2 linked regions of the Lytechinus pictus genome follow. The protein of the gene in region 1 interacts with the protein of each later gene in a pairwise test. Links are inferred from orthologs where the notes say so. Each region holds a gene or a part of one and is shown on either strand. Other genes may lie near its edges.

Region 1 (10,138 bases):
GGGAAAAGAAAGGAGAAAGAAAAGGGGAAGAAAGAGAATAATATTTAAAAAGAGAGGAAGATGGGAAGAAAGATAAGAAAAGAGAGAGAGAGGGGAATAGAGGAAAAGAGAAGAAAAAAGGAGAGAGTAAGGGGGGAAGGAAAAGAAGAGAAAAGAGAGAGGAAAAGAGAGAAAGAAAGGACGGGAAAAATAGAAGAAAAGTGGGAAAGATAAGATAGGGGAAAAAAGAAGAAAAGGGAGAAAGGAAGACAAGAAAAAAGAGAAGAAAAGGGGAAAATAAAGAGAAGAAAAGGAGAGAGAGAGAGGAGGAAGGAAAAGAAGAAAAGAAGAGGAAGAGGGGGAAAGAAAGAGAAAGGAAGGGGAATGAGGATAAGAGAAAGAAAAAAAAGAAAGAAAGAAAGAAAAGGAGATGGGAAACGAAAGAGGGAGATGTTGACCCGGACGTCGATTTGATGTTCGAACTAGGCGGTGCCAAAATAACATTCGAACTATGGGGCGCCGAACTGATGTTTGAACAGGGAGGGGGGCGCGAAATTGATGTTCGAACTATGGGAGCGCCGAATTGATGTTCGATCTAGCGGGGCACCAAATTGATGTTCGAACTATAAAGAGCGCTAATTTGAATTTTGACCATAATGCGACAAATACATGTTTCAGAGGGGGGGGGGGAGGGCAAAGTTATATTTCACATGGGGGCGCCAAGTTTATGTTCAACCGAGGGCGCCAAATTGACCTTGAACTTAGGGGGCTTCATGCAAATTCATTTTCGACCGGGGGCGCAACATTGCTCGTATTGCCTGTTTATAGTGAAATATATGTCCTGCCCAAAAAGCTTAAATTAATGCGGGTGAATTAAAATATCCCGTTTTTACGATAATAGACAAAAACAATGTTTTCGAGTTTAAAGTCTGTTTAGCGAGATAGATATCCTGTTCAGGGTCACAAAAAGGGGTTATAATCAAATTCAGCTCGCGCTACGCGCTCGCAATATTTCATCAATGAGGTATGCATCCTCTGCATCAATCCTACATGTAAGTGAATTAGTGTTCTTCAAGTCAACATACATAGGCCGATCCACGGGGCAAAGATTTTGCCCCCCCCCCCCCCATGGTGGCGCAAAAAAGGGGTAAGAAACAGAAAACGAAGAGAAAAGGGACAAGCAATTAAAATAGGAATTATACCTTAGTCCTTCTTAAGTCAGTATATAAAAAATTGAGCTCGCGCTTCGCGCTGGCATCAATAAATTGTTTAGTTATATACGCATCCCGACCTCACAGTTTTTTTTAAGAGAACGAGAAGCACAAGCTGAAAATATTTGATATTCTAACCTGACAACTGAAAATGTATTTTTCATTTTATCATTATACAAGTTTTCAGCTAGCGCTTCGCGCTCGCATTCATTTATTAATAGATATGCATCGTGTTCATCATAACAACTACTAACATTGGCGAATCCAGGGGGCCCGAGGGCCCTTCCCCCTAGTGACGGAGCAAATAAATTGGGAAAAACGGGGAAAGAAAGACAAAAAGAAGGGGAAAGATAAAAGGGGGAAGACGAGTGAATAAAATAAGGTCAGGAGAAGACTTGAAAAATAATTTTTTAAATATTTAATGTCACTATATTAAAATTTCGCTCACGCATCACGCTCGCATTGCCTGTTCGATGAGATACATATCTCGGTCAATATAGGCTGATATATAGTTCAAAAGATAAAGTTTTGAAGTCAATATACAAAACATAATTCAGCTCGGACATCGATCTTTCATTTTTTTTTGGTTTTATTTGCCAATTTATTTTTTTAAGTGCTCTGGAAAATGTCCGTTTTATGGTGTGAATCAACATTTGCAACATTTTGTGCGCTCGCATTATTTGCTATGTAGGCCTACCTTTTGCCTTTTGGTATTTCATATAAGATTATCTAAATATTCCTTTTCAGGTGTCTCGATTCTAAAAAAAATGAAGGCCTATGCTCACGCTGTGCTCTCGCATTTTGGTGAGTTATGTACACCTATAACAAACTACTTAATTCCCCCCCCCCCCCCATTTAAACATTTCGGATCGCGATTTGCGCTCGCGTTATTTGCTAAAATATATCAACCAATGAATCCTATTCATGATTATAAAAATACTTAAAATTTCCAGTTTTCAGGCCACATACACTGTCAACAAATTTCACACACTCATTAGGCTTATTAGATTAATAAATATGAAATAACATTTTTATGAATTCATAATAACTAAATTGTCCCTTTTTCATAAATAAATATCGACACGTTTTAGGAAAAGAAATAGAAGATAGTCATCATTCTTATATGATGACAAAATATCCTTAGGCTTAAAATGTCTCGATCCTAGGTTAAAATAATAATAAAATATCAGCTCACGATTCGCGCTCGCATCATTTATTTAGTGCTGTCCACATCGACGTCACAATTTTCCTATATCAAAGTGCTGTAAATAGTGCTTAAATTGACTCATTTCATATCGGAATTTCAAATATTATTTTCAACTCGCGCTCTGCGATCGCATTATTGATTTTCATGATGAAAAATGAAATGTATTCAGAATGCAGATTCTGTCTAACTCTAAAACACGCGCACGCATTTTTTTTTTTAGATACGCAGCTTGATCTTATTCAAAACGTACTAAAATTATCCAGTTTCAGATCAGAATATAAAAAATTTTCTGCTCGCGCTTTGCGCTCGCATTATGAAGACACTAAAAATTACCCTTCCTTTTTCATGATTGACAAAACATGACTCGAGCGTCCTGTTTGGGGGTTTGAAATCTCATCTTTTTAGGGTGGAATATCAAAAATGTTCAGCTCGCGCTTCGCGCTCACATTATTTAATCGTTGAAATATATATCGTCTTAATGGCTAACTGCAAAACGTCCTTAACAGGTCCCTTTTCGACTAGGCCAGAATGCATATTTAAAGGTCAAGTCCACCCCAGAAAAATGTTGATTTGAATAAATAGAGAAAAATCAAACATGAATAACGCTGAAAACTTCATCAAAATCGGATGTAAAATAAGTTATGACATTTTAAAGTTTCGCTTATTTAAAAAAAAAACAGTTCTATGCTCAACTAAGTGATATGCAAATGAGAGAGTCGATGATGTTACTCACTCACTATTTCTTTTGTTTTCTATTGTTTGAATAATACAATATTTCAATTTTTATGAATTCGACAATTAGGACCCCCTTGCTTGAACCACAAAATGCTAAAATAATTGAATTACATGTGTTCAGGGAGGAATGAAACTCTGTTTCACATGACAATGACGAGAAATATAATACAAAAGAAATAGTGAGTGGGTGATGTCATCGGTACCCTCATTTGCATACCGACCAGGATGTGCATATAAATGTTTTGAAAAATTAAGCAAAACTTTAAAATGTTATGTGTTATGTTAACTTTCTTTTTTTACATCCGATTTTGATGAAATTTTCAGTGTTATGTTTGTTTAATTTTTCACTTTCTATTCAAAGCAACTTTTTGTTGGGGTGGGCTTGTCCTTTAACACTTCTGATCGCGCTTCGCGCTCACGGTAATTATCTAGTTACATAACGCGTTCTCAATTTTCTGGACAAAATACATGAAATTTCATTTTTTTTTAGCTTGCATAGGGCTTATGAGATTATTACACATTTATGTTGTTTATAAAGTAAAGCTAGGAAATGACTGTTAGGACATGGGCGTTTTGCCCCCCCCCCAAAAAAAAAAAGAGAGAAAAGGAAAGGGATTAGGATGAAATATGATATTATTTTCCAAATGTTATGTCAAAATCTATCACAACCTTGTATTTTTGTAATAAAAATGTCAGCATATTTGCTTGCTCGCTTCGCTCAATGGAAACTTCTTATTAATTTTGTGCGATACGCCATATCGAGCCCCCTCAAAATTGTTGGCTCATTACGCCACTGGAACAACCCCTTCAAAGAAAAAAAAAATAAAATATCAACATTGAGCGGCCGATGGGGGAAAATATGGGTGAAAAAATTCGCCCCCTCATTTGCGGAAGCTAGGTCCGCCCCCGGAATTAGGCTTTCAGGATAAAATACATCAAAAATAAAAAATAAATCAGATCGCGCTTCGCGTTCTCATTATGTATTTAGGCCTTGTGAAATACCTCAATGTGTTTTTTAAAATAAAATCTCAGATATTCTTTAACTTCTACCCCCCCCCCCCATTTCATTGATTGTTGTTATCTTGGTGCCCTCTACAAAAGTTCAACAAGACCCCCCCTCGTGCACCCATGCTGAATAAATACGCCACAAATGAGGAGAATGAGTCGATTGCTTCGTGATTGCATTATTCCCAAGAAGCTATCATTAATATTATTGAAGGCTATTCTAAAACAACTAGCAAAGAAACTACAGCTCCCGTTCACACAATATTCTAGTAGGGCCTACTCTCGTGAGAAATTAAACCAAATTGAACCCCCCCCCCAAATCACTCGCGCTTCGCGCTCCCATTGATATTTCATTATTATATTCATGGATTTTTTTTTTAAGAACACATTAAAAGAGTGGTCTTTAATTGCCTTTTTAAAATGTGATTATAAGATAATTCAAAATCCATTTAAGGCACTTAAGTTAGCCTGGCTGGAAGGGAGTGGGCGCAATTTTTCGAAAAGTACACATGGGCGCCAAGAATCAGGTCAAATTTGGGCCCCCCTTCTCACCAAATCCTGGATCCGCGCCTGGGTTCTATAACAATAACCAAATTAGGGCAATCATCCACTGACAACTACTTCAAGGAAAATATGATCCCCATATTTTTACCGCCGGGGACTGTTACCCCCAGAAATTTACCCTCGAGACAATTACCCCGGATAATTACCCTTAGTACGGAGCCTTTAAAATGCCATCGACGTGACGACATGGCATGATACTCTATCTTGCCATGTATAATTAATAAGCTTATTATTTCGACATGGCGATATATTCTATCTTGTCAAGTCGATATGTCGACATGGCGAGATCTGAAGTGTACAAGTCCCGGCCAGAATCCCGATATATCGCCATGTTGACATATAACTTGTTACAAGTCGACTTGGCAAGATAAAATATCTCACCATGTTGACGTATAACTTTTATATGTGGACTTGGCAGGTATCTCGCCATGCCGACATAATAAGCTTATTTAGTCGATATGGCAAGATAAAGTATTTCGCCATGTCGTCAAGTCAGTGGCATTTGAAAGGCTCCGTACTAGGGGCAATTGGCGTCTAGAGGGTAAATTTCGGGGGGGGGGGGGTAACAGTCCCTGACGATAAAAATATGGGGATAATATTTTCCTTGAAGTAGTTGTCAGGGGGCGATTGTCCATTCGGTCATCGTTATAGAACCCCATGGACTCGTATCAATGACCGTTTGACCTCTTGATGACATTGGATCTCACTATATCCTGATCATTATTTTACACACACCGCGGACTATCGGACCCGCGGTCTATCGGACCCGCGGACTATCGGACCCGCGGTCTATCGGACCCGCGGTCTATCGGACCCGCGGTCTATCGGACCCGCGGACTATCGGACCCGCGGTCTATCGGACCCGCGGTCTATCGGGCTGTAACCGAATGCATGATATGAACCATGCATACCGCCGGTAATATTATGAAGCAATACGCTGCGAAAACGAAAACAACGTTTTGCTTGATCATGATGATGTCTGTGTTTGTGAAAACAGTTTTTGGACAGTTTGTTGGCTAACACTAAAGAAAATACGTTCTACATTGGTCTCATCTTCAAAGTTCTACCTAGAATAGTCTATTCTCTTAAGACAAGAAAAAACAAGGAGCAGGCTGAGCAGTGGACAATCGGCTGATCGGGCATCGCTTTTCTTCTTCCCTGGCCGCGGTCGCGTTGATTTCCTCCACTCTCGATTACCGTCTACCCATCTGGACTGGGGAACTGCCGGATCCAGTGGTTATAGCGAAAAGTGTTTTTTTTTAAATTAGATTCAGGATAGAGCTAAGCTCAGGATCTTTGGAATCGTTCTGTATCTTGATGATGTCTGTTTCATTGTGTATCATCAGAATTTCTGTTAACGACAACTCTCCGATTCCAAAATCATTGTCATATTCAAGAGGTAGATCTGTGGTTTTAACATTAACAAGTTAGTCCGGAGGGGGGGGGGGCAGTCAAATATATTGCTGTACACTTACGTGACCAAAAAACGCATTTAAAGGGTTTTTTTTTTTTCAGTTTTATACGCGGGCCCCGCGTGTACTGATTTTCAAGAAAAAGGGTGGTTTTGAAAGACCGGTCAATGGTCAGTTGCGGGGCTGGGGTCAAATGTAATTAGGGTATGTTTTTTTTCCAAAGCTTTTTATTTAAAACTAGCCAAACATGTTAAGGGTATGTTTTCTCCCCCAAGCTTTTTCCCCAAGGTCATATTCTGGCAACAACATGTACATGTTTAGAGGCCAAATTGTGTACATAAAGCTCGCGAAAAAATTGTTTGGAGGTTATTTTGCACACAGAGAAAAACTCGTTTAGGGGGTGTTTGGAAATAATTTGGTCACGCATGTGTACAGCAATACATTTGACTGCCCCCCGGCCCCGGGGCAAGTTAGTCCTAATTTTTTTTAAGTTGATAGCCTAACTGTTAGCTATTTAAGTGATTATTTTTTTGTCTAACATTACTACTAGGAACTTAGGAAGTTTAATTTCAGTAGCCATGGTAGAATAGCAGAGTATTTGGTTGAATTGAAATAGCCTAACAACATGCCTAAGCCTAAGGCATGATAATGTTCAGTCTTCCTATTAATTTAAGTTATAATTTTGAGAATCGAGACATTAAATCATTCAATTCAACTCTTTTAAAATGTCATTTTTTAAAAGTAGATTTATCTAGAACTCTATTATGATTAATCAAATTGTGACTTAGAATTTTTTTAGATTAACAAGGTTTTGTTTGAATTTCATGCAGGAGCAGACGCGATGGCAGAAAGTCCACCACTGCTATCTTCTTCACCTCCTCCTACTCTGATGGCCAAACGGCATGATGCCCTCAGTGATAAACCTTCAGTGGCATGGGAGAAAGTGGATGAAGATGGACGAAGTCATCCAATCCTGGCCAAGGCAGAGAGCACCGAAGCCATCTTGGAGAAATGCATCGGAAAAAGGGAAGAGACAGAGATCCAGATCGAAACCTACAATGTTGAAGGTAATTTTAACTGGGAATGAATCTACAGTCAAATTGATCAGCTGAACTTATTGGGGGAAGGGGATGGGTCATTCCCAATTGTTTAACATTTGTGACAGAGCAATGTTTTATACATAGCAATGTTTTCCCGGCTTTAAGGCTTTAATCAACATGTCAAAACAGAGCAATGTTATATACATAGCAATGTTTTCCCGGCTTTAAGCAGTACATGGCAATATGGCTGTAAAAATATGAAATGTGAAATTTAATCAACATGTCAAAACAGGAAGCCACATCTTTTTTCTGTGATAACCAAATTAATCTTTTGAAATTCGCTATACAGGTAGAAAGGACCTCAAATCTTCTTGCCTGATGTGGTGAAGAATTGGTTCTAAAGCTACACTGATATCACAGGAGGCAGGCATAATCATTATTAAGAAATCTTGACACATCTAACTTTATGCTCTTTAGAAGTTTAGATGAGGACATTAACTGATAAAAAGTAGATTATTTGTATGAGACATTTGCTATTGAAATGTACAAACTGTGCATAATGGCTTGCCAGCCATGATGTCACATAATTTATTAAAGTCGATTATAATTTGTTATACTTTTGTTGTTGATGCCATTTTGAGACTGCACAGCTCTTTCGTTATACACTGTCAGAGAAAATGATTTTGCTAAGTGTTAAATTATTGGGCTGAGAAGCTCTTTACCTTAATGTATTGAACTCATTATTCCAGAATTTCTTTTTGTTTCAACTTTAAAAACTTTTTTGTGTGCAAATAAAGTATGAAAGAAAAATTGAGATAGATATTTTAATGGGATGTAAAGGCTTACTGGGGAAGTTTGATATTGGAATTCTGTCTTGTAATAGATAGAGAGATAGAAAGTGTAATGGGATGGAAATGCTTGCTGAGGAAGTTTGATATTGGAATTCTGTCTTGTAATAGATAGAGAGATAGATAGAGTAATGGGATGGAAATGCTTGCTGAGGAAGTTTGATATTGGAATTCTGTCTTGTAATAGATAGAGAGATAGATAGTGTAATGGGATGTAAAGGTTTGCTGGAGAAGTTTGATATTGGAATTCTGTCTTGTAATAGATAGAGAGATAGATAGAGTAATGGGATGGAAATGCTTGCTGAGGAAGTTTGATATTGGAATTCTGTCTTGTAATAGATAGAGAGATAGATAGAGTAATGGGATGGAAATGCTTGCTGAGGAAGTTTGATATTGGAATCCTGTCTTGTAATAGATAGAGAGATAGATAGAGTAATGGGATGGAAATGCTTGCTGAGGAAGTTTGATATTGGAATTCTGTCTTGTAATAGATAGAGAGATAGATAGAGTAATGGGATGGAAATGCTTGCTGAGGAAGTTTGATATTGGAATTCTGTCTTGTAATAGATAGAGAGATAGATAGTGTAATGGGATGTAAAGGTTTGCTGGAGAAGTTTGATATTGGAATTCTGTCTTGTAATAGATAGAGAGATAGATAGAGTAATGGGATGGAAATGCTTGCTGAGGAAGTTTGATATTGGAATTCTGTCTTGTAATAGATAGAGAGATAGATAGTGTAATGGGATGTAAAGGTTTGCTGGAGAAGTTTGATATTGGAATTCTGTCTTGTAATAGATAGAGAGATAGATAGTGTAATGGGATGGGATGGAAATGCTTGCTGAGGAAGTTTGATATTGGAATTCTGTCTTGTAATAGATAGAGAGATAGATAGTGTAATGGGATGGAAATGCTTGCTGAGGAAGTTTGATATTGGAATTCTGTCTTGTAATAGATAGAGAGATAGATAGTGTAATGGGATGGGATGGAAATGCTTGCTGAGGAAGTTTGATATTGGAATTCTGTCTTGTAATAGATAGAGAGATAGATAGTGTAATGGGATGGAAATGCTTGCTGAGGAAGTTTGATATTGGAATTCTGTCTTGTAATAGATAGAGAGATAGATAGTGTAATGGGATGTAAAGGTTTGCTGGAGAAGTTTGATATTGGAATTCTGTCTTGTAATAGATAGAGAGTTAGATATAAAGGCTTGCTGGGGAAGTTTGATATTGGAATTCTGTCTTGTAATAGATAGTGTAATGGGATAGAAATGCTTGCTGAGGAAGTTTGATATTGGAATTCTGTCTTGTAAGAGATAGAGAGATAGATAGTGCAATGGGATGTAAAGGCTTGCTGGGGAAGTTTGATATTAGAATTCTGTCTTTTCCATGAATACAGGTCAGATTAAAACTAAGAGGTAGTGAGGTAACTTGTTCTTACATCATTGTGACTGTGCCATAAACCAGCAATGGCTTGGTGGTAGGGCCATTGATCAGCAATTAGTAGATTCAAATCTAGGTTCAAATCCTCCTGGTTCTAAGATTTTTGTCTGTCTTATTTTTTAGATCAAATATGCGATCTTATTTAATCTACAAAATTTGCTTCTTATGAAGGCTTAGAATGAAAAACGACTTTGAAGTTTTTAGTTATATTGATTTGCCTTGGTAATCAATTTCTGATAGACCAAAGAAGTGGACTATTTCTTCACTATGTAAGCTAAGCATTGATATTCTTATCTTCCAGAAAGATACGAGGATGAGTGCACAGATCAGATCAAGGAAGAACCTAAACCGAGCTATGCCAAAGCTCTTGCTGGGGTGAAAGAAACAGACAAATGGCGTTCATCCAAGGAAAGACAAAGTCAAATTAATCAGTCATCGACTTTTAAGCCTGTAAAGGGGGACAGTCTATGTAGTGACACCACTACTACTAGTGAAATCACATCTCTTGATAGTACTGATGAAGACTCTCTAAGCATAGACAAGGACAAAGGTCAAAGCTCAGAGTCTGACAAAGTTCAAAGCACAGAGAACAAAGGACAAAGATCGGAGAGCAAAGGTCAAAGCTTAGAGGGCAAAGCTAAGAAAGGCGAGGCTTCGGGTAAGAGTCGCCCTAGAGTTGTGCCTCCAGTTGATAGCTC
Region 2 (9,471 bases), on another chromosome or scaffold:
TCCTAAAAGCACAAAATTCTCAGATCCTTTCGCAATCGAATGATTCGATTAAGCTAATGAATGATTATTATGTTTCATGAATTGTTTAAAAGGTGTCTCTCTATCAGTTTTGAATATTTAAAAAAAAATGCTAGCTCGTGCTTTTTGCTCGCAACATTTTGATTAGTAAGAAGTTCTTGTAAATGCGAGTTTGATAGATAAATAACCAGAGAGGGGGGGGGGGTCCCTCAGCGTCTTGACCTAGCTTATTCCCAATTTTTTTATTATGCTCGTGTTGTGAGTGTTTCAAAGTCTTTTCTTATTTTTTTACCCTTTTTTATTGTCTCGGAGCTTCCCTCTATTTCTTTTAACTATGATGTAGCCCTTTTTACTTGTTTCAATTCTTTTATGTTCTCATTTCATTAAAAAAATAATTATTAAACTGACGTAGAAGACTTTATTACGAAATTTTGATATTGTTTTTTCTTGTTTGTTTGGCTTTCTTTTTTTCTTCTCATCCTTCTGTTTCTTCTTACTTTTTTCCATTTCCTTATTTTCTCTGTTATTTCAATTCATGAGGCATCCGCCAACTTATATACAACATCAAACACATTTAGAGGCGGATATCCAGTGAGGGGGCGTGGTGGTGTGCCCCTCTAAAAAAGAACTGGAAGGGGAAAAAATAAGAAAAAAAGAAAGACGATGATGGCAAAGATTATGATGATGAAAATTATCTTGGTAAAGATGATGGTGGTGGTGATGGTGGCGGTGATGATGATGATGGTGGTAGTGGTGATGAAGATGAGAATGAAGTTGGTGATGATGATGATGACTAGATGTAATTTGTCTTTGAAAAAATTAAGTAGTGCAAAGGTGAATTCATTTAAAGTTTATTATGAAAATAGCAGAAAAAAATAATTTGAAAAATTGGTATGCGTTCGAGGAAAATCCATCCCCCACCCCAAAAAAAAAATTAAAGGTGAGATTTTTAAAAAAAATTATTTGTGACGGCGTAGGCCTATGCGAGCAGCTTTAGGATAATTATGGTAAAAAAAGTAAATGAAATGTCAAGAAATACATGATAATGACTTTTATTGTACATTCAGTATTTCAATAGATAACTTCATACCCCTACTCGTTCCACAAAAAAAAAAGTGGGTCATTACGGACCATTAAAAATGGGAAATTTTGGCATTTTATATTACATAGAATATAGAGCAACTGCTTGTTTATGGCGTCACAAATCAAGCATTCGAAATTCTATTAACTCCAATTTAAAAAAAAATAATAACACCTTCACCGATATTTTGAAATTATTTTTCTTATTATTACAATATTTTTATCAAGGTGAAATTCCCCTTTAATTTACAAAACAGTATCAGCATGATCAGTGTGAAGCGGTAAAGCATTCACCTGATAAGTATAGACCTATCTATAATTCATGCGGCGCGCAGCGCGTGCGGCAATGTTTAATAATATATTGCTGTGAATAGAATGAATGTCATTAAAAACATAATCTCACAGATCAAATAATGCCAGCTCGACGCTCGAGCTGAAAAAATATATTTTGTGCCCTGATAATTTTTAACCCTAACCTAACCCAATTTCTAAGTATTTTTTTATCATAAACGGGATAACTATAGACAATTGATTGAAAACTTATTCTTTTGTGAAAATGAATATGAAGGACAACTTTTAAGAACACAGCCCGGAACACAGTTTTAGAGCGTTAGAGCGCGATTTATACGGATTTATACCTACAACCGCTAAATCCTCATGAAGCAGTTGGAACATTTAGTCCTGATTCAATCAGCTTAATAATTTTTGCAACAAGCGCCAGTCCAACAAACAGACAAACATTTGCCCAAACGGACAACATCTCAACCTCTGCTCATTTCTTTTTGCACGGGCACATAAAATCTCGACCTACCCATCACTTTTCTCACTATTTTCTCCTCCCTTTTATTTTCCATTAATTTATCTTTCGTTCACTTTATTTCTGTCCTCTTTTCCCTTTTATTTTTTTCTCGTCTCACCGCTTTTCCTCATCCCCCAGCCCCCGACGCCCGTGCAGATTCGCAAACAATATCAAGAGTAGTGTTAGGCAAGGGCGGAAATCTCTCCCCAAAGGTAGGGGGACTAGGGGCTGGAAAATTTGACAAGCAAAAAAAAAAAAGGTTTATCACCCCAATTAAAAGAAGGTCATCTTGACCAAAAGAAATTTGACAAGCAAACAAGCCCCCCCCCCCAAAAAAAAGGGCACCCCAAAAGTAAGATCGTCTCTTCCAAAATACATGTTTTATTTCGATTTTGAATTAAAAGACCAAAAATAGTAGAGGGGCATTTCATAATGTGCCCCCGACTATTTTGGGTGAGGGGGACATGTCCCCCTGGGATTTGCGCCCATGTGGGTGGGGGTGATGCGCCTCTCTTTCGGAATCATTATGGAAGAGTGTAAATACGAGTTCGCTGTGATTTCGATCTCATACCTATTAAAAAAAAATAGAACAGCTACGCCTTGAACACAGGCAAAAATGCCTAACGATTTCTCCGCGGCATTAACAACTCTCGTAAGGGGCGCTCCATTTATAAATAAAGTTGCATATGTAGCTGTCTACCGCGACAGGAACAGTCGCAGAATTGAAGCCAGAAGCGTGGGAAATTGCCAGAAAATTCAAGAAAAGAACCGGTGAGTACCGATTTAACAGTACTAATTTATTAAGTAACATTTATTGAATCATAAGAATATTTATTTTTTAGTAAAACAAAGCTTAGTTCTAAGCTAGGGCGGCCCAAATGCGCGTGAGTGGAGTCCCAGTTTATATTAACACGGATAAGTATATTGGGGTGTCGCCTAGAGTGATTTAAGTTACGGTAGGGCCGCCCTAGCCCTAGCCCCACTCTAGGCGACACCCCAATACTTACCCGTGCTAATAAACTGGGACTCCACTCACGCGCATTTGGGCCGCCCTAGCTTAGAACTAAGCAATATTATCTAGAAATTGTTACATTGTAGTCATTAAATATGTTCTATTAAATAAATTGATAATGTTTAATCGGTACTCACCGGTTCTTTTGTTGCATTTTCAGACCATTTCTCACAATTCTTCGTAAATATTTGCGGCAAATTTTGTCGCCATAGACAGCTTAGCATCCATCTTTATTGATAAATGGAGCGCCCTTTACGATAGTTGTTAATGCCGCGGAGAAATCGTTAGGCATTTTGGCCTGTGTTCAAGGCGTTCTGTTTTATTTTTTATATTGAAGATTGTGCATTTGTTGAATAGCGCCGTCTACGTCAGGTATGAGATCGAGTGTATAAATACACTCTTCCAAAATAATTATGATTCCGACCTGGCGCTGTTTAACTTCAATCTCTTTCACCTAAATTAGCGATGAATGCTAGCATTATAAAATATATTATTAACGTCTGACGAAAAGAATAACCAACCGATCAGCTGACGAGAACGCGAATCACGTGATCTTCATATCAGCTTCGATCGCGAGCAGAAGAGAAGAGCAGCTGCCCAGAAAATCAGGAAAAAGCCGTGAAAATGTAAGTTCCCCTTCATTTCTTTCATTTTTTTTTGTTGCTAATGCTAACGATGCATTTACACTATAAAATTATAATTTAAATAAGAGAAAGGAATATAGCTTGTACTTGTGATATAATATATAAATATCCTGTTCTCAGAGATTTCTAACCAAAAATACTACTGATGTCGCCTATGAGGTCCATACATGTAATGTTGGACCTCATTGGTACTAGGTAGTAGGAGTAGGACTCGAGTGCCTAGCCCTAGCCTACTGAAATTAGGTCCATCCATATTTTTTATCACAATCACCATCGAGACAAGCATACGTACCGGTACACATTTATTGAAATCAGCATACACATCTATTCTGAAAGGAGGAATGGAATTCGTACTGTACCGTTATTTAATAGTCAAAGATTGCATTTAAATTTAATCAAAAAAGAAAAAAATCCACATTATTGAATGCATGGGACTAAACACAAAGAAATACACGCAATTGACTGCAGTTGTCCAAGCAAAGGGTATGACAAAGTCAGGTTGAGATACGTCAAAAAAAGTCTCGAATCGTTTTTATTTATTGAACAGTCATGTGCAAGTCATTCAACGATAAATTTCGTCTCTCAAACAGCAAACTGCGTTGCAAAAATGAAAATCGATGCAAAATTACCAGGTCCAGGCATACAGCGAGCAAGTCTCGAGAATCAAAAGGCTAGTCTGAATACCAGTCACTACATATATATTATATCTCTCGGATCGGAGGCCGAGGATGGGGATCTGGGGAGTGTTTCATCAACATTTTCATCCGACAAGTTGTCAGATCTGACATCTTTCTCTGATGTTGATTGGCTGAGAGGTACTGTTACTATGGTAACTGTCGGATAAAATGGGACTTGTCGGATAAAACGTCCGACAAGTCCTTTCATGAAACGCTCCCCAGGGGCCGATTGCACGAAGGGTCTTTCCAAGGACCGTCTTTCGTGTCGCCCATCTTTTAAAATGCGCTGTATGCGAGATATTTCTGAAATGTAAGATAAAGAAATAAAATTTGTTAGCTAGCATTTAAATCAATTTGTATACGATTTCATGATATATCACATCATTTTATAAACAAAGATTTTGTTTACTTTAACGGATGAATGAAATGTGTTAATTTACAGGTAATTTATTTAAAATGCGTTTCACATATGGCGCATCATAATAAATGGGCGACACGAAAGACGGTTCTTGCAAAGACCCTTTCGGGCAATCGGCTCCTGGGGCCCGTTTCTCAACACCGTCATAAGTCTAACTTCTTGACTAAATCGGAGATAGTGAGCTACTTGTCCGCTAACCGTTTCACGAAGCCCTCTTTACCAAGATCGGGTACAACAACCTCACTAAATATTTATGACACCTCCGAACCTGTCAACTTCTTTCTTAATGACGTAGTGGCATCACGTGGGTAGACTACGACATGCAAAAGTGCCTAGAAATTATAAAAATTATAATCTTACGTAATCAATCATAGAGATAGAAATTACATCACAAAACAAGTGGGATAATTAATGCATTCAATGATAATTGTAATACAAAGAAACTATAAAAACTGTTGGTAAAACGCCACAAAACCATTCATTTTGAAATAGTAAAATGATTTAATCGATAAAGATTCTACCACGTCAGGCCATCCATAACTGAACTCGTATTTGTTGTTTTCAGACCCCTATTAACAGTTGGATAAATTCTATCTCTAATTTATGCATATAATTTGTCAAATTTCGTATGTTTCGGTATCAATTATTAAAAATGTTTCGTTAAACTATAATTTTGATGACTTTCGGAGTCATAAAAGACCGTAGTAATTATCATCATTTTACAAAGAAAACCGTTATGGTTTACTTTCGTAAACTATTAAAATTTGATATCCCGGGGGTACCCATCTCAACGTCCACAAGTGATTTTTTAGTCATGAAATGAATTATTCAGAATTTTATTTTCTCTGCAATTGAATGCTCCAATCTTCATGGTCTCAGTATGTATGATGCATAATTCACCTGTGCTATTATTTTGAAAAGATTTATTTCCCAATTCATCACGATATTTGCAATTTTGTCATAATTTTTCTTTTTGAAAATTATGCTATTTTGTGACTAAGGCTATGTCTCGTCTGCTCTTTTTACCGATAGTAACGATATCAAGGTATTCTAGTTAGGAAGCCTTTCGAGAAACAGGTTTAGTAAGATTGGAACTAACTCCGTGGTTGGTGGATAAAGATATGACTAACTTGTCCATGTGTTGAGAAACGGGCCCCTGGGGCCTGTTGCATGACGAGATGAGCGATACGTAGGAACGTCCTAGGACCATTCTTCCGAGATTGGAAGATTGGCGACAAATCAGCGCTTTCCGTTTCACGAAGGCAATTTTGTCTTTCAAGTCCGCGACATCGTTTGATATCGATAGTATCGGGAAAATATTTAGTCTTCATCGTCACCTGAACCTTTTATTTCGGAATGACGACTTTTCATAAAATCATATATTTCAATAAAAGGGGATCAAATAATGTTTTATTTATTACTGATTGTAGAATTGATGTATGGAGCGTACTTTATGAGGTAAAAAGAGAAAAAACTTTCAAGATTCACAAACATAACTGGATAAAATCGAAATTTTCATTATTTCCCTTATTTAGAACACGGTGTCCTTTTAGAGACACCTTTCATTGATATTTCAATGAAAGAGACCCTTGTCCGACATAAAAATTGATTCAACTAAGTAATTTCGACATTTTATTAGTTCAATACACTGATTTTTTTTATAGAATACATATATATAATGATGATTTTGCAAATTATGCGTTAATATGTTATCTGTTGAGGTAAAAATAGGGTTTTAATGAAGTAAACAAAATCAACAGTGTCTGATTGTATGAGACTAAAATGGAATATATGAGAGGCTGCCTGTGAAAAATCTAATTTATTTATTTTATTTGTCAGATATAACGCAAGAAATACAAATGTGAGTGTTTAGAGTATAAACATACCTCAGTTGCATGATGAGTAACCGAAGACAAGGAAAATATGAAAATTGCTGCAAACATGTCCAAGTGGATAAAGTAGAGCTTTGCAATTACAATTAAAACATAGAAAAAGGTGTGCAATTAATATCCGCAATGGAAAAAATACTATTTACAGAAATAATGCTAAATATTACAATGATCATATAAACGTTGGTCATCTTTAAAGTTGATCACTTAATTTATGGAAGCTTATATAAGAATATAAGGTTTAAGAATATGAGAAATATATATGTTCAACATTTCAAAGTTGAGGAGTATGTAGAGACTACATTATTGCTTTAACATTACATAGGGGCCGAAAGGGGTCTACCCTACGATTTAACATGCGCCTCTTCGTATATGGACTTTCCATAATCTTTTCTTTAATATGAACTAGCTTATCTTCATTTGTAATAATTGTAATGGATTCGTAAGCTATATATAGGCCTAATCTGTATCTTAAATTCAATTAGCTATTTTGTTACTGCAGATTTTTTGTTTTGTTTCACTGTTTCACATCTCAAGTTAGCCCAAATCCGACAATTAATTTTCATTGATTAAAATTAATCTCAGCAAAAAAAAAATTGTAATGAAAATGAAATAAAAATAAATGAATGATTTACCATGTTTAACATTTTAGTTTTGTATCGTGTTTGTTTTTTTGCTGAACGTTATAAACAAGTTTTTTACCTTACATCATTTCTTTTAAAGATATTTGTTTTCATGTTGTTTAATTATCTATAATGAGAAAGCATGAGGGGTCAGAGAGATAGTGCCGCCCATTTCAATATTTCAAAAAAAATTAATGGAAATGGTGTGGGGATAGGACGGAGAATAAAAGAAAACATATTAAAAAAAATATTTGGGCCTACATTACCCCGGACATAATGCCCGGAGAAGTTAAAATGACATCTGTTTTTGGTCGATCGTCTTGCCGTGCAAAAAGACGACCTGAAATTGATGACAACTATCCCCCATATAAAAAATAACTTGGCGCCATCCCAGACAAAATGCATCAGTGTGCAACCCCAAAAAATGTTTAAAGGTGATATGTCAGTGTGGCTTGCCGTAAACGCATTTTCTCTCAATGCCGACGGTGGCGGGCGGTGTGCAAAGAAGATCATGCCTACGTAGGACATGTCTGGAGGTGTCTTTCCAAGGACCATCCTTCGTATCGCCCAAACCGGCTTTGTGAAACAGTTGAGCGATATCTCGTTCTTACGTAGAGTGGTCCTACCAAAGACCATTTCATGCAACAGGCCCCTGCATGCTATCTATCCGTACCGCGTAGTTCTGTTTCTCTAATAATAGCCACCTTTCGCAATCCTCACGGACGCTAATATTAGGGTCCCCTAACACAAAAGTTAACGCTTAATCATACACTTGATTTTTAAGATTGATTGTACATTATAGTCAATAGAATCAAACGTAGAAAACTGCTCTACAATCAATACTAAGCTTTGTGTTACAGGGGGGTTACAGGCCCTACAGATCTGCTTTTCGTGTGCAAAATTCTTTCCCGCGACACCCCCACCATTACATGCATGTACATTACGACTGATGGCTGGAGATATTCGAAATGCAGGACCTACAATAGATTATGACATGGATATGAAAGAGGTTTTTCAAACAAATCGAGTACATATTGAGTGAGGAAAAAGTTACTGAATTAAGGCTTAGATATAAATCATTACAGTCCATCGAATCGATATTGCATTTAATGTGGATTATTGGTGGATCTCTGGCAATTATTTCCATGGGTCAAATCACCTCTCCAGCCGAAACCATTTCGCATGCGTTGATTATGTACACAGTATGTATACGTCTGAACGTACCAGCCTTTTGTGTACTCCTACACAAACGATATGCGTCTAGCACACCATGTAATGGGCATTATGTTTTACTTTCCCCAGAAATGGGGGATTAGATTCGAATTCCCGCGGGGGGACCACTTAATTCCATTGATGAGTTGATACCAGGCACGACCATGCGGTACCAAAAAGCACCCTAAATAAAGGAAGCAAGGCTTTTCCAGATTATGAAAATGCATCTCTTAAAGTAGAAATATATTGAAAATCATAGAAATTAAGAATTATATATCAAATTAGAGGGGGAAATAAGAAGAACACGATGGTGTGCATCATTCATCATGGAGACCGATGAAACTCACTTAATTGATAGTTCAAAGTTCTTTATCTGAATGCTTCAAACACGCTCAATTACGTCCGCGAAATTGGGGTTTTTTGATGACGTGTATAAGTGTACGAGAAACGTGATTGGCTCTCCCACGTCAAGCTCCACTTGCATGCAAAACCTGTTGCGAGGGTACGTTTTTCCACACTGTCACTGAATACTTCGATCACGAAATGAAAGAAAACCCAGAAGTTTATCTAGATTTTGGATTTTCAAATTGATGATTTTGAAGATGAAGAGAATGATGATGAAGTTTCTAGCTCTAGTGACGCGGATGGAGGTAAATTAGGGGAATTACGTCTATGATGATGAGTCGGACATTTCAACTTGCATGCCGATACGCTACCAACTCATGCAGCTGCTAGTGCTAGCTGCACCTAGGCCTACTGCGGGCCAAAATAAATCCATGAAAATTCCAGCCTTGACCAGCCATACAGAGTCTCTTCCCTCTGTCAAGGCTCTAAAGAAGGAGAATAATGATATAACTGTACTTACAAAGAAGTGAATATATCCGAATCTGAAGGCAAATCAACTCAACGAATAGCAGCAGACGATATTCACCGACGATAAACTTCACGTGGCCGGGATAAATTGTCACTCGTTCTGTTAGATATAATTTCTGCCTCATCATTTTGACAAAATTACGAAACTCGGGGAATTATTTTTTTTAAACCGCTTGCTCGCTATGCTTTGTCGCTGAGAAGTGAAACCTAATTCAAAATATCTATC

What was found.
Region 2: the proteins of BRCA1-associated protein-like (region 1) and high mobility group protein 20A-like interact in a two-hybrid assay, tested with the Homo sapiens proteins (2 studies listed by BioGRID and IntAct). The link is inferred for Lytechinus pictus from reciprocal best matches to the Homo sapiens genes BRAP and HMG20A.

Annotation. Positions count from the first base shown.
Region 1 is NC_087246.1:16,471,410-16,481,547, forward strand, and holds the start of BRCA1-associated protein-like, read left to right. Parts: upstream 1-5,549; 5' UTR 5,550-6,018; coding exon 6,019-6,100; intron 6,101-6,943; coding exon 6,944-7,180; intron 7,181-9,741; coding exon 9,742-10,138. UniProt on the Homo sapiens protein: Negatively regulates MAP kinase activation by limiting the formation of Raf/MEK complexes probably by inactivation of the KSR1 scaffold protein.
Region 2 is NC_087247.1:80,861,688-80,871,158, forward strand, and holds the start of high mobility group protein 20A-like, read right to left. Parts: upstream 4,514-9,471; 5' UTR 4,183-4,513; intron 1-4,182. UniProt on the Homo sapiens protein: Plays a role in neuronal differentiation as chromatin-associated protein. Acts as inhibitor of HMG20B. Overcomes the repressive effects of the neuronal silencer REST and induces the activation of neuronal-specific genes.